Linked DNA regions of Schizosaccharomyces pombe. The gene in region 2 interacts genetically with the main gene of each other region. Each region holds a gene or a part of one and is shown on either strand. Other genes may lie near its edges.

The links. Genes that interact genetically often act in the same process or in processes that back each other up.
Region 1: mutations in exg1 (region 2) and spo4 together harm fitness more than expected from each alone (negative genetic interaction), as found in Schizosaccharomyces pombe (one large-scale study listed by BioGRID).

The regions. Positions count from the first base shown.
Region 1 is NC_003423.3:3,825,433-3,830,188, reverse strand, and holds spo4 (serine/threonine protein kinase (DDK family) Spo4), read right to left. Parts: upstream 3,012-4,756; coding exon 2,018-3,011; exon of another isoform or gene 1,896-2,017; coding exon 1,728-1,895; exon of another isoform or gene 1,468-1,727; coding exon 1,340-1,467; 3' UTR 1,229-1,339; downstream 1-1,228. Other genes in the region: SBDS family protein Rtc3, read right to left, coding at 1-22; protein psg1, read left to right, coding at 3,975-4,065, 4,116-4,585. UniProt on the Schizosaccharomyces pombe protein: Required for the initiation of meiosis II and progression through anaphase II.
Region 2 is NC_003423.3:3,511,888-3,517,647, reverse strand, and holds exg1 (cell wall glucan 1,6-beta-glucosidase Exg1), read right to left. Parts: upstream 3,045-5,760; 5' UTR 2,511-3,044; coding exon 1,287-2,510; 3' UTR 1,081-1,286; downstream 1-1,080. Other genes in the region: pmc4 (mediator complex subunit Med4), read right to left, coding at 1-159; ARS-binding protein Cbp1, read left to right, coding at 5,309-5,760. UniProt on the Schizosaccharomyces pombe protein: Beta-glucanases participate in the metabolism of beta-glucan, the main structural component of the cell wall. It could also function biosynthetically as a transglycosylase.

The sequences.
Region 1 (4,756 bases), 310 kb from region 2:
GGTTGGCCTTAGAGCTAGACATTTTGGAAGTATTGATAAATATATTAATAGACGGTTGGACAATGCAAAAAAATAAAATTTAATAGTCTTGTGAAAAGAGAGAACAAACTATAGAATTATCCAAATACAAACAAACAATTCTTATTTTTGTGTGAAACGATGCTCAACTAGGTTGGGAAAGGAAGTCCTTTTATAGTATTAGATTTGGGTGGAATAAATGCATTTTCCATCAATATGTCTAAACGTAAGTCTCTAACAGCGTCATAACATATTTACATCATTACTATGGGAAGCGAATAATGACATCAGGCGATATGTTTGTTTACCGTGTGTTAAATCCTTACAGTAAAATAATTAACGCACGATAGCACCTTTTGTCCTACACTACTTCATTACTCTCTCTGGTGCCCGACTTTTGTTTAGAGATGGTTTAGTGTGAAGTTAAGAAAAAAATGTTTCCCCTATATATTCAATCTCTTGGAAGATAAATAAAGGAGTAGTTTTTATTCAGTATTACACTTCATTTTTTCCTTTGATACGCTCACAAATCAATCTCTTTACACATGTAGCTTAAGAGGTGTCAATACCTACCTCTTTAATATGATAGTCAGTGTACATACTATTCTCATAACATTATCGCTAAAGAGTATACTGGAAAAACAAAACATCGTTATTTACAATAACACATTAGAAAGCCGGTGCGCAATCAACACTTAGTGACGTTGTAAACAATACGCAATCATCTGTTTAGTGATTTCACTCACGCAATGGCCCACGTCAGTAAGAGTTTGAAAGAGATGGATAATGGAGTACGTGACTGTTTGACTTTTTTCATGATCGAAACTTCTCGGCGATCTTTTGTTTACATTTTGGAAAATATCTTTTATCATTATGAAGAAAGGAAATTGGCTTATTTTGAATTCGGCTTTTTCTTAGTTTAAGGTTATTGTACTTTTAATTGCTGATTTGTTTCTTATGTACTTTATTCGACGACGTTGACACATCTGTTGGCTGATTCCACTATAATGACTTGACGCTACAGGCATTGTAACGATTAAAGTAGGTTAATGTTTGTCAGAGACATCTCATCCTATCTAAACATTTCGTATTTAGTCTGCTCATTTGGTTAACCTTTTACTGTACTTAGTATTTGACCGTTACACATTCGCTTTTCTCACGTGCTTTGGTTTTTGAGATGTTTGCAACGCACGCAACTTCAAATATCTTTATCTTTGACATTCATTATTATTAAGAGTTAATCGATACAATAAATAAAACTTTGAATGATATTATGGAATTCCGACGTGTGGAAATTTCTCCATCTTTGGCAGATACACGTCTACTGCTCTACAGTTGAAGGGAAATCACTTCGAAAAGGGTTTTCTGCCTCAAATCCTGACCGGGTAACCCCACATGCATTAAAGAATTCGTGCTGAAGAGCTGTTTTGGCCTTTACTCGTTTCGATGCTAGATAATTGTTAGCCATTCAATTTTTAATTAATTCCTGCCATGTTGTTTTATACAACTGGAGTTTGGAAATCAAGATACTAGTTTCAGAGTGGATAGCCCCAGGCTTCGTTAAAAAACCTAAAAAGCATCATAAAAGAAGACAATCCATGAATGAAACAATAAAAAAAAGGCCATTTCGGTTCGCGTTTTTTTTTGTCATTTAAGAATTTTCCTCCTAGTCCACTTCCTAGTATTTTGTTTTTGGGATTTGCACGTACGATGTAATTCTAATAACTTGTCCAACAAGTCAATGGCTAAAGCCACTTGATAATCTGAGCTTGTCTCTAAAATTAAATTCTCATCATTCTTCGTAATGCTAGCAATTAGGTCTAGCCAATTATGCTTTTGATCTAGTAGAGTCGGAATGTTATCTGACCAAATTTGTCCTGAGAGAAATACAAGTTAGCACCTCAAAAGTTGTCTCAAAAAGATTTGAAGCATTGGTTAGAAAACGATTTCTCTCTTCGTTTTTTCAACTTTTACGCTCAAGTGTTTAATAACTACTTACCATGTAATAATGCGCAGTTTGACATGCCATTTCTTCCAAAGATATGTGCTAATTCTACGATTGCATCGATATCATCTTCACAGCGGAAAAAAGGATATCGATGTGTTAAAAAACACAACAAAATGACTCCCACTGACCACACATCAATTGAGGATGTTTGATTTTGGCATCGAAACAATACCTCAGGCGCTCGAAATCCTCTTGTTCCGGCTCGGTCAGCACGTTTTGTAGGCCTTGGATCATGTAGCAAGTAACCCTCTGGAGGATCTGCTATCGTTTTCTCAAATGGAAAATAATCGTAATATTTTCCTTCTTGCTTCAGTTTTCTCAATTTATCGACACAGCAATTTTCTGTAGGTGCATCTGCCTCTTGCCATTGAGCTAATCCAAAGTCAAGTATGACTCCCCTTTGGGTGTAAGGATTCCAAGCAAAGTTACCTGGTTTGATATCTCGATGAATTATGCCCTTTGCATCTATATGTGCCAACCCTTTCAAGAGGTCTCTTAAGTACGCACCAATTTCTGGAAGAGAATATTTCATATAGAAGTCCCGGAACTCTGCATGTTGTATAAACGGTAGTACAATTAACACTTGATCTTGATGTCTTACAGCAGTTATCATATTTAGTACACAATCACTGCCTCGTAGTTCATGTAGCATCTCAAGTTCAGTTTGGATTCTTGAGGGAAGAACGGTGGCATAAATTCTTTTCAATGCAACAAAATGGTTTTTTGGTCTCTTGGTTTTGTCATGGGGCATCTGATCTTCTATTTGAGATGATATCCAGTAGGAGTTATCGTAGCTATCGAAATGTCTATCCACCGCTTTAAAGACGCTGCTAAAACTTCCTGCTCCTACTAACTTAACCACATGATAGTCTTCTTCAATGGTAGGGAATGCTTGCACCAATTTAGCAATTTCTGGTCGATCTTCTCGATCTACATCACTGGCGTATACACCTGAATTTCCGAAAGGTAATAGCATGGAAAGCATTTCCTGTTTTAATTTTTATTTTAGTCGCCTTTTGTTTGGTAAAGTGCGGGCTGTTAGATGAGGCACAATTTTCATTAATAGTTTGTTTGTTTGTTTACTTCGCCAAACCCAAATATTTCCCTCTAAGCAAAACTTACTTTTTGTTCCCTAAGCTTTGCTATATCGGCCCAAAGCAAATGAAAATGTAAACAAATGATGCCAATGAAGCACTCCAATTTGTTTATACAAATTTTCAATCCATGATCATCATTAAACGGTAGACAGTGTCAAAGTAAATTACTAGACCAGCTAGTAATTTAAATTACATATATTTCCTTTATAAAAAAATTTACTTTAGCTCTATAACTGGTAACATTTAGAGTCCTATTTAGAACGAAAGCATAATTTATCAAAATTTTTTAGTATGTAAACAATAAACAGCACACCTGTCATAACCAATTTTTGAGATTTCTTCAACACTTGGTTGATTCTTTACTAAATTAATTTAATATTATTATTTTTTCTGTTTATTTCTTGTACATTGTTAAAGGTTTTTGTTTATTGTTTACTGCTTACTACTGCAGTTCGTTTCCAACATAATTATATGCTAGACTGTTATAAATAGCTTTTTCTTTCTATACTTTAAGCCATGCGGATACGGCAAACGAATAACCGAAATTTATTTTATTAGTGTAAAGTTATCTGGGTTCTGATGACAGCATTTTCAACTCATATATTTCCACTCTAAAAAGGATTTACTAATTTTTTTTGTTGAATACGATAACAGTATCATTCGAATATATACAATGATATCGCATTAACGAGTACGAGTTAATTTTACACTTCCGTCCCTGGCTGTTGATGTATCTTCCGCAGACAATTGCCGTATCACTGAGTCTATGCTAAAGACATTGTAAGATTCACGTTAGAGAAGACCGTTTTTTTATTTTTTTTAAGCTACAAAGAAAACTTCGGGTTCACAAAATGAAATTCTTTCTAGGATCTGCTTTATTCTTAATCCTTACTTTTATCAATCTTGTTCGGGCTGAATTTGAGTTCATCACTCCTGCTGAAGGTATGTTTTTTATTTAATTTTTAGTATTGTAAAACTGACTTTTGTTTAAGATTCTCGATGGGCTAGAGGATTTACTTATGCTGTCAAATGGAAACAACCCACTGAACAGTTTGTCGAAATTGCTTTGCAATATGCCGACTCCAATAACACATTGATTACGAGCAGTGGTGTTATTCCTTCCAACCAAACTTACTGGATGGTAAAGATAGATAAGAAATGGCTTATGAAGATGGACAACATTACTGCGCGAGTTGTTGCTGTTCCTCAAAATGGTACCGCCAGCACGGTATATGTGGGTCCACAGGTCCTATTAGCGAACACGTTTTACTGGAAGATGGTAGTGGATGTTTCCCCTGCATTTTCTGTAAACCCGATTGACAAGAAACTTGCAATTGGGTTATCCGTTGGTTTATCCTGTTGCATACTGATCGTTCTATTTCTTCATTTTGCAACTAGGAGAGAAAGAAGGATTTTAAAAAACGAGAAAGAGCTGGAAATGTCTTCATATAGAAAGCATTAGCGTTTCTACTTTTCTGCGCCAAAAAATATACTATCTCATTCATCAGAACTGTTTCTATAGAGTAAATGGTCCATTATTAATTGGAAGGTAATACGCATTGCTTCTTAACTTTAAATTCAATGGCCTCTTTCACCATTCCTTGTCTGTCCGCTTTACTCCATTATTCGTTCC
Region 2 (5,760 bases):
ATTTGTGTAATTTGATATTAAAGAGTGTAAGGTTTTCAAGTGGCCTACTAATGAGGTCCAGTTTTCTATTAGTACATATTGGTCAACCTTTTCGGATGACAGTCTTAACTGTTTATTGAGACATTCTTCAATAGAATCAATGGCTCTTTGATATTCCATTGGGGAGCATATGTGATTACTATATACTAACTACTCAACAATTGCTCGATCATCTAGTAGGTCAGGTTACAGTTATTTTGCAGACTCGACTTTTTACTCCTTAAACATCCGTAACCGTTAGTTAAACAGACATCCTTAAAAGGTTTAATGTGCTAAAACACGGTAAATTACAGTAATGTCCTCCTCCACAAGGGCAATAAGTAGCAGCTGGTATATACGCTCGACGAACAATACTTAAGTTACTCTCGATTAAATAGAATTAGTCAATTTAATTCTGTATATGATTTTAATTGTTTAAATTGTCTAACAAATTTCACTAATTTGGGCAAGAAGAAAGCTATTATTCGTATAAATTAGTCGACAAACTACGTTACATTTACAGTGTAACAATTTTGATCTTGTTAGGGACAACATAATGAATACATACTAGTGAATTAGATATCTCATTAAATTAAAAAAGCGAGTTCGTTAAAGAATGCTTAATGAGCTTATTTCGTTTAATGCGTATAAAGCCTATATCAGATCAGAAAATGTGTAATATTACTTTACCAAGAAATCGCTCAATTTAAATGTAATTTTTATAAAAGTATTTTAAACATATGTCACCTGTGGCTGAGTGAAAACCTATTCTGTCGATTTGCTTTTCCGAGACTAACTCAAAGTGGTCCGTCTATGTGGCTCAATACTGACTTATAAGAGTAGAGCAGAAAATACATTTCATATAAGTAAACTGAAGATACTTGATAATTGAAAATTCAATTGGACAACTTTAAAAAGATTTCTCGGTCAACTTTCTCCAAAGTACAGCTACTGTTAATATAGAGTTCGAAAAAATATGCAATATTGAACGTAAACTATTAAGCTAAATATTAATTTAGTAGGAACTTGCTACCAAAATATTAATATCACATAACTAAAAGATTTCGAAAACAACAATATATATTAAAAACTAATGTCTAAAGATAATGCCAAACAAACAAAGACTGAATGGATAGTAGATAGCAGCACGTTAAATGATAGTAGATGATAAATGCAAGGACAGGACATGACAACGATGTGTGAGATATAAATTAGTGTTATACAGCTAGAATAGATAAAATTTTTTTTTAACTTTGATATGGCTTTGCTTAACCGCAGTAAGAGCTATATTGTCTATCAGTGAAAGGTTGAGGGAATACGCCGTATTCAATAAGTAATCCCATATCCCAAGTAGGACTTGGTCCACCAGTTTTAGCAGTCCAGTAAATCCAACCAGCACCGCGTTCAAATTGATCTAACTGAGTTTCGATAAACAGACGAACAGCTCCCTTATATTCATCCGTCCAAGTGGAAATATCACCGCTGTTTGGTCCAATAAATGTCGAAGAGTCAACTCCTTCTTCGAAAATCGTGCAGTCTGCTAAAGTTCCGGACCATTCGCCAGTAACAGTAATGTAGGGAGAGGAAGCAATGGAATCACCAATGGAGCAAACATCTGAAAGATGATCATCGAGAGTCTTTGAGCACTCATCCGACTCGTAAAGTTGATAACGATGGACATCCATAACAAGATTGTATGAAGAAGGAGATACAACACCATAATCCCAAATAGAAAGATCAACATAGGCATCGTGAATGATAGTAGCAACAGAGCTGGAAAGAGGATTGACGATATTATAGGCATCTAAATCGTATTGCTTAAGTTGATCCATATCCAGACCATAGCCCAAAGGCTCATTTACCGTCTCAATTCCAATAACCACGCTGGCATATTGAGATTGGGTATACTTATTAGCAACATAGGTAATAATGTCAAGAGTACGAGTTACAGTGTCATTTTGCTGCCATCCAATGGAACCAGTCTTACCAGAGTTTTCAAATCCATTTTGGCTGCCTGGAACACCATGCAAGTCAATCCAAACCTTAAGGCCATATTGTTCAGCCCAAGTAAGAGCTTGATCGAGCCAGTACTCTTGCCCTTGAACATATGGTTCGCCGTCTACCACATTAAAGGCCCAATACCCAATAGGAATACGCAAAACATTAACACCCCAAGAAGCTATAGTAGCGAAATCAGATTCAGTGTAGAATGAGCTATAATGAGCAGCTAATTGAGAGGCAGCTTCATCTGCACCAAGAACCTCACAAAAGCCCCATTCATCAGTGGGAGGATTCGACATACTGCTAAATTGAGTAAACAATTGTGGAGTGATCCAATTTTCCAGCACCAACCAGCCACCAATGTTTACACCACGGACTTTTTCCGAGGTATAGTCAAAAACGGGGTTATTTCGCTTGATTACATAGGAAAATGCTGTCTTGAGAAGCAATGCATGCAAGAAAAAAGAAAAAACCGATGTAAAAGAGAGCATTTTAATGATATTATAAAGAGATAGAATATAGATATAAAGAACGAATAAGAGAACGAAAAACTGTTAAGAAACCAGTTTAGTTCAATTCAAAAGCACGTCTCAAATTCTAAGAGAAAAGCAAGTGAGTGTGTATATATTTATGTGTTCTTCAAAGCAGAAGAGAGAATAGGTATAAAGAAAAGGGGTATATATATGAGCACCTTTATGGACCGCGCAATGTAAGAACAAAGGAAGTACAAAAACAGTTCCACACAAAATAGCAATGTACAATTGGACAGAGTGATTGGCCGATTCAAAAAAAAGAAGTTCCTTTTAAAAAGGATATCGATACAGACAGCAAAAAAAAAAAAAGGAAGAAAAACTGAAACTCACGATAACAATGTTAACGAAGAAAACAGATAATCGGGCTGTATGTAAAGGAAAGTGTGTAAAATAGAAAATGCAAGCGACTTCTAAAAATAAAAAGAAAGAAAAAGGTAAAGAAAGAAAAGAAAGGATATCTAAATTAGAGCTTTCGTCTTTGAATTAAACAATGGAACAAAGGAACTGGGCATGAGTATCTTTTATACCAATTTCTCAACTCACGGAGCGCTCTAGAGTATGCTACGATAAAGAAAATTTGACAACCAATCACTACCAAGTAAACAATGATCGACAAATATGGACACTTTTTGACTCCTTAATTGGCTAACCTAATGGCTGGTTTTATTGTTTACTGCTTGGATTTGCGTACTGTTTTGTTTACATTTAGGTAGCGGTTACCAGGTAGATTGGACGAGAGGTAGCAATCGACCGTTTATTGTGGCTTACCGCGTCGTTATACCGTAAACAACGCGCTGGATTCATTGTAAATAGCAACGAAGCGCTGTAAAAAGCCGACAAAACATTAGCATTTGTACACGCTCTCTACCTTCACGCCTTTGCTGCCAGGGTGCGTTTGAGACAGTTAGTTGCTAAGTAAAAAAATGCCAATTCGGCTGGATTGAACTCTAAATATTATTTATTTATTTATTTAATTCATATTGTTTCGGTAATGAATTTGGTAATGTTTACATGATTCTTCTCAACTCAATGTCGGAAACCAACATGTGACTTACCAATTTAACGATATCAACCCTTTTTATTTACTTCATCAGCAGGTCCTTAAAATGTATACTATTTCGATCTAATTTACCTCGTCACACTGCTGTGGCCGTTCAATTAGTGGGGCACAAGACATATCAAAAAAATAAATAAATAAATGAGAAAGAAAGGATTCGAAAAGAAAATTAAAAAAAAAAAAAGACTTTCTTTTTCATTGTCATCTGCTCTGCCACTAAGGAGTCCAAGCAGTTTTCTTCAGGATCCTACATAGAAAACCATACTTTTTGAATTCTGATTAAAACAACCCAATTTTCACTTCATCCTCTGCTATACCATGCTGCCGCTCAAAGGTTTGTCGCGCTAAGTCTGTTAACATTTACAAAGTCCAATTAACCGAGGTAGCATTTACCGAGTCGTTATTTACAAACGGGGATGAATAAGTAGTAATTAGACTGGCGTCATGTAGTATGAACATTCGCAAGTGAACTAGGACGAAAGATAAGGTATGCGACCGATACCTATCTACTTGAGGTTCTGTAAGTTAACTGCGCTCAAATTTCTTGATACACCGTTAATGAATATCTGATATCTTGATATTTTTATTTTACAATGGCTTGTGAAGATATGCTATTTTAACAACTGCAATGGTTTCGTTCTCTAGACCCGGATCTAATAACCGATTATCTGGCAATGTGCACCATCGGCATTTGGTAATATAGGTTGGCAATTAAGAATGGAGTGATAATGAGTTTGAGGCGTTTGAATGCTATTTTTTGAAGAAAATATGATTTCGGAAAATGGAATTAAATATGCATATCATTTAATATAATTTTATTAGCAAGTTGAATTTCCAAGGCGATAACTAACTGTCCGTTTGTAAGTGTAGAATGTTCGTTCATCTACTGTCTTCCATATATGTTCATGTTCTGTAGACTAGTATATATCCACGAAATAAAGAAAATTTATCAGTTAGTAAGTTACAGTAAAATTCATGATACCGTCAATTGTAAAAAAATATGTGAATTGCTACACAAATTGCTTTTTTTTAGATTGACTTGAATGCAATCCTAGCAAAAATTATTAGTTTTTACTGAAGAATATAAAAATTAAAAAAAAAAAAAAAAAAAAAGAGAATAAAAATAAATTTAAATACATCATTTATAGAGTTTGACCTTTTTTTTTAATATTTTATAGTAACCCCATCAATAATCAATTGTTACTACTTTTTCCATAATTTAGTCCCTTCGTCCCCTGAGCGGAATTATTTTTTTTTTAATTCCTTGTTCCATTTTTCCTTCATCGCACTATTATTGAGCAATTTTACGCAATTTCACAAATATACTAAATACAAAACTAACAATACTCTTACTGGTAATCCAGTTTATGTCGACCAAAAACTTTTATTTGGAAACCATGAAATAGCACCAGGAATAATTCATTTTTTTATACCACTGCAAAAAATTGGCCCAGATGAATTAGGAAAGCCAAACCTGGTACGACCATATGTTGATTTTTGAAGATGAAACTCACTATACTGTTTACCGCTGTTTGTTTCATCGCTTAACAGATATTAAGCTTAGATATTACGTTACGCTGTTCAGTATAATATTACGAACTCGTGACTGTTAGTGTCGTTTTATTAAGGCAAGAAACCTTTGCTCTGCTATCCTTATATTTTCACTTCAAGACATTAGAAATAATAAAGCTATCGAGTAATGGGAAAAATCAAAAGAAGAGCCATTACAGAACATGAAAAACGCGCTCTTAGGCACTACTTTTTTCAACTTCAAAACCGTTCCGGTCAACAAGATCTTATCGAATGGTTCCGTGAAAAGTTTGGCAAAGATATTTCACAGCCTTCCGTCTCTCAGATCTTATCCTCCAAATACTCGTATCTGGACAATACTGTAGAAAAACCATGGGACGTGAAACGTAACAGACCACCGAAATACCCTCTTTTAGAGGCCGCTTTATTTGAATGGCAAGTTCAACAGGGTGACGATGCTACACTTTCCGGTGAAACAATTAAGAGAGCCGCCGCTATTCTTTGGCACAAAATTCCCGAGTATCAAGATCAACCGGTTCCGAACTTTAGCAATGGATGGTTGGAAGGTTTCAGGAAGCGCCATATACTTCATGCAATTAATGAACAACCCACCGAGTCTGT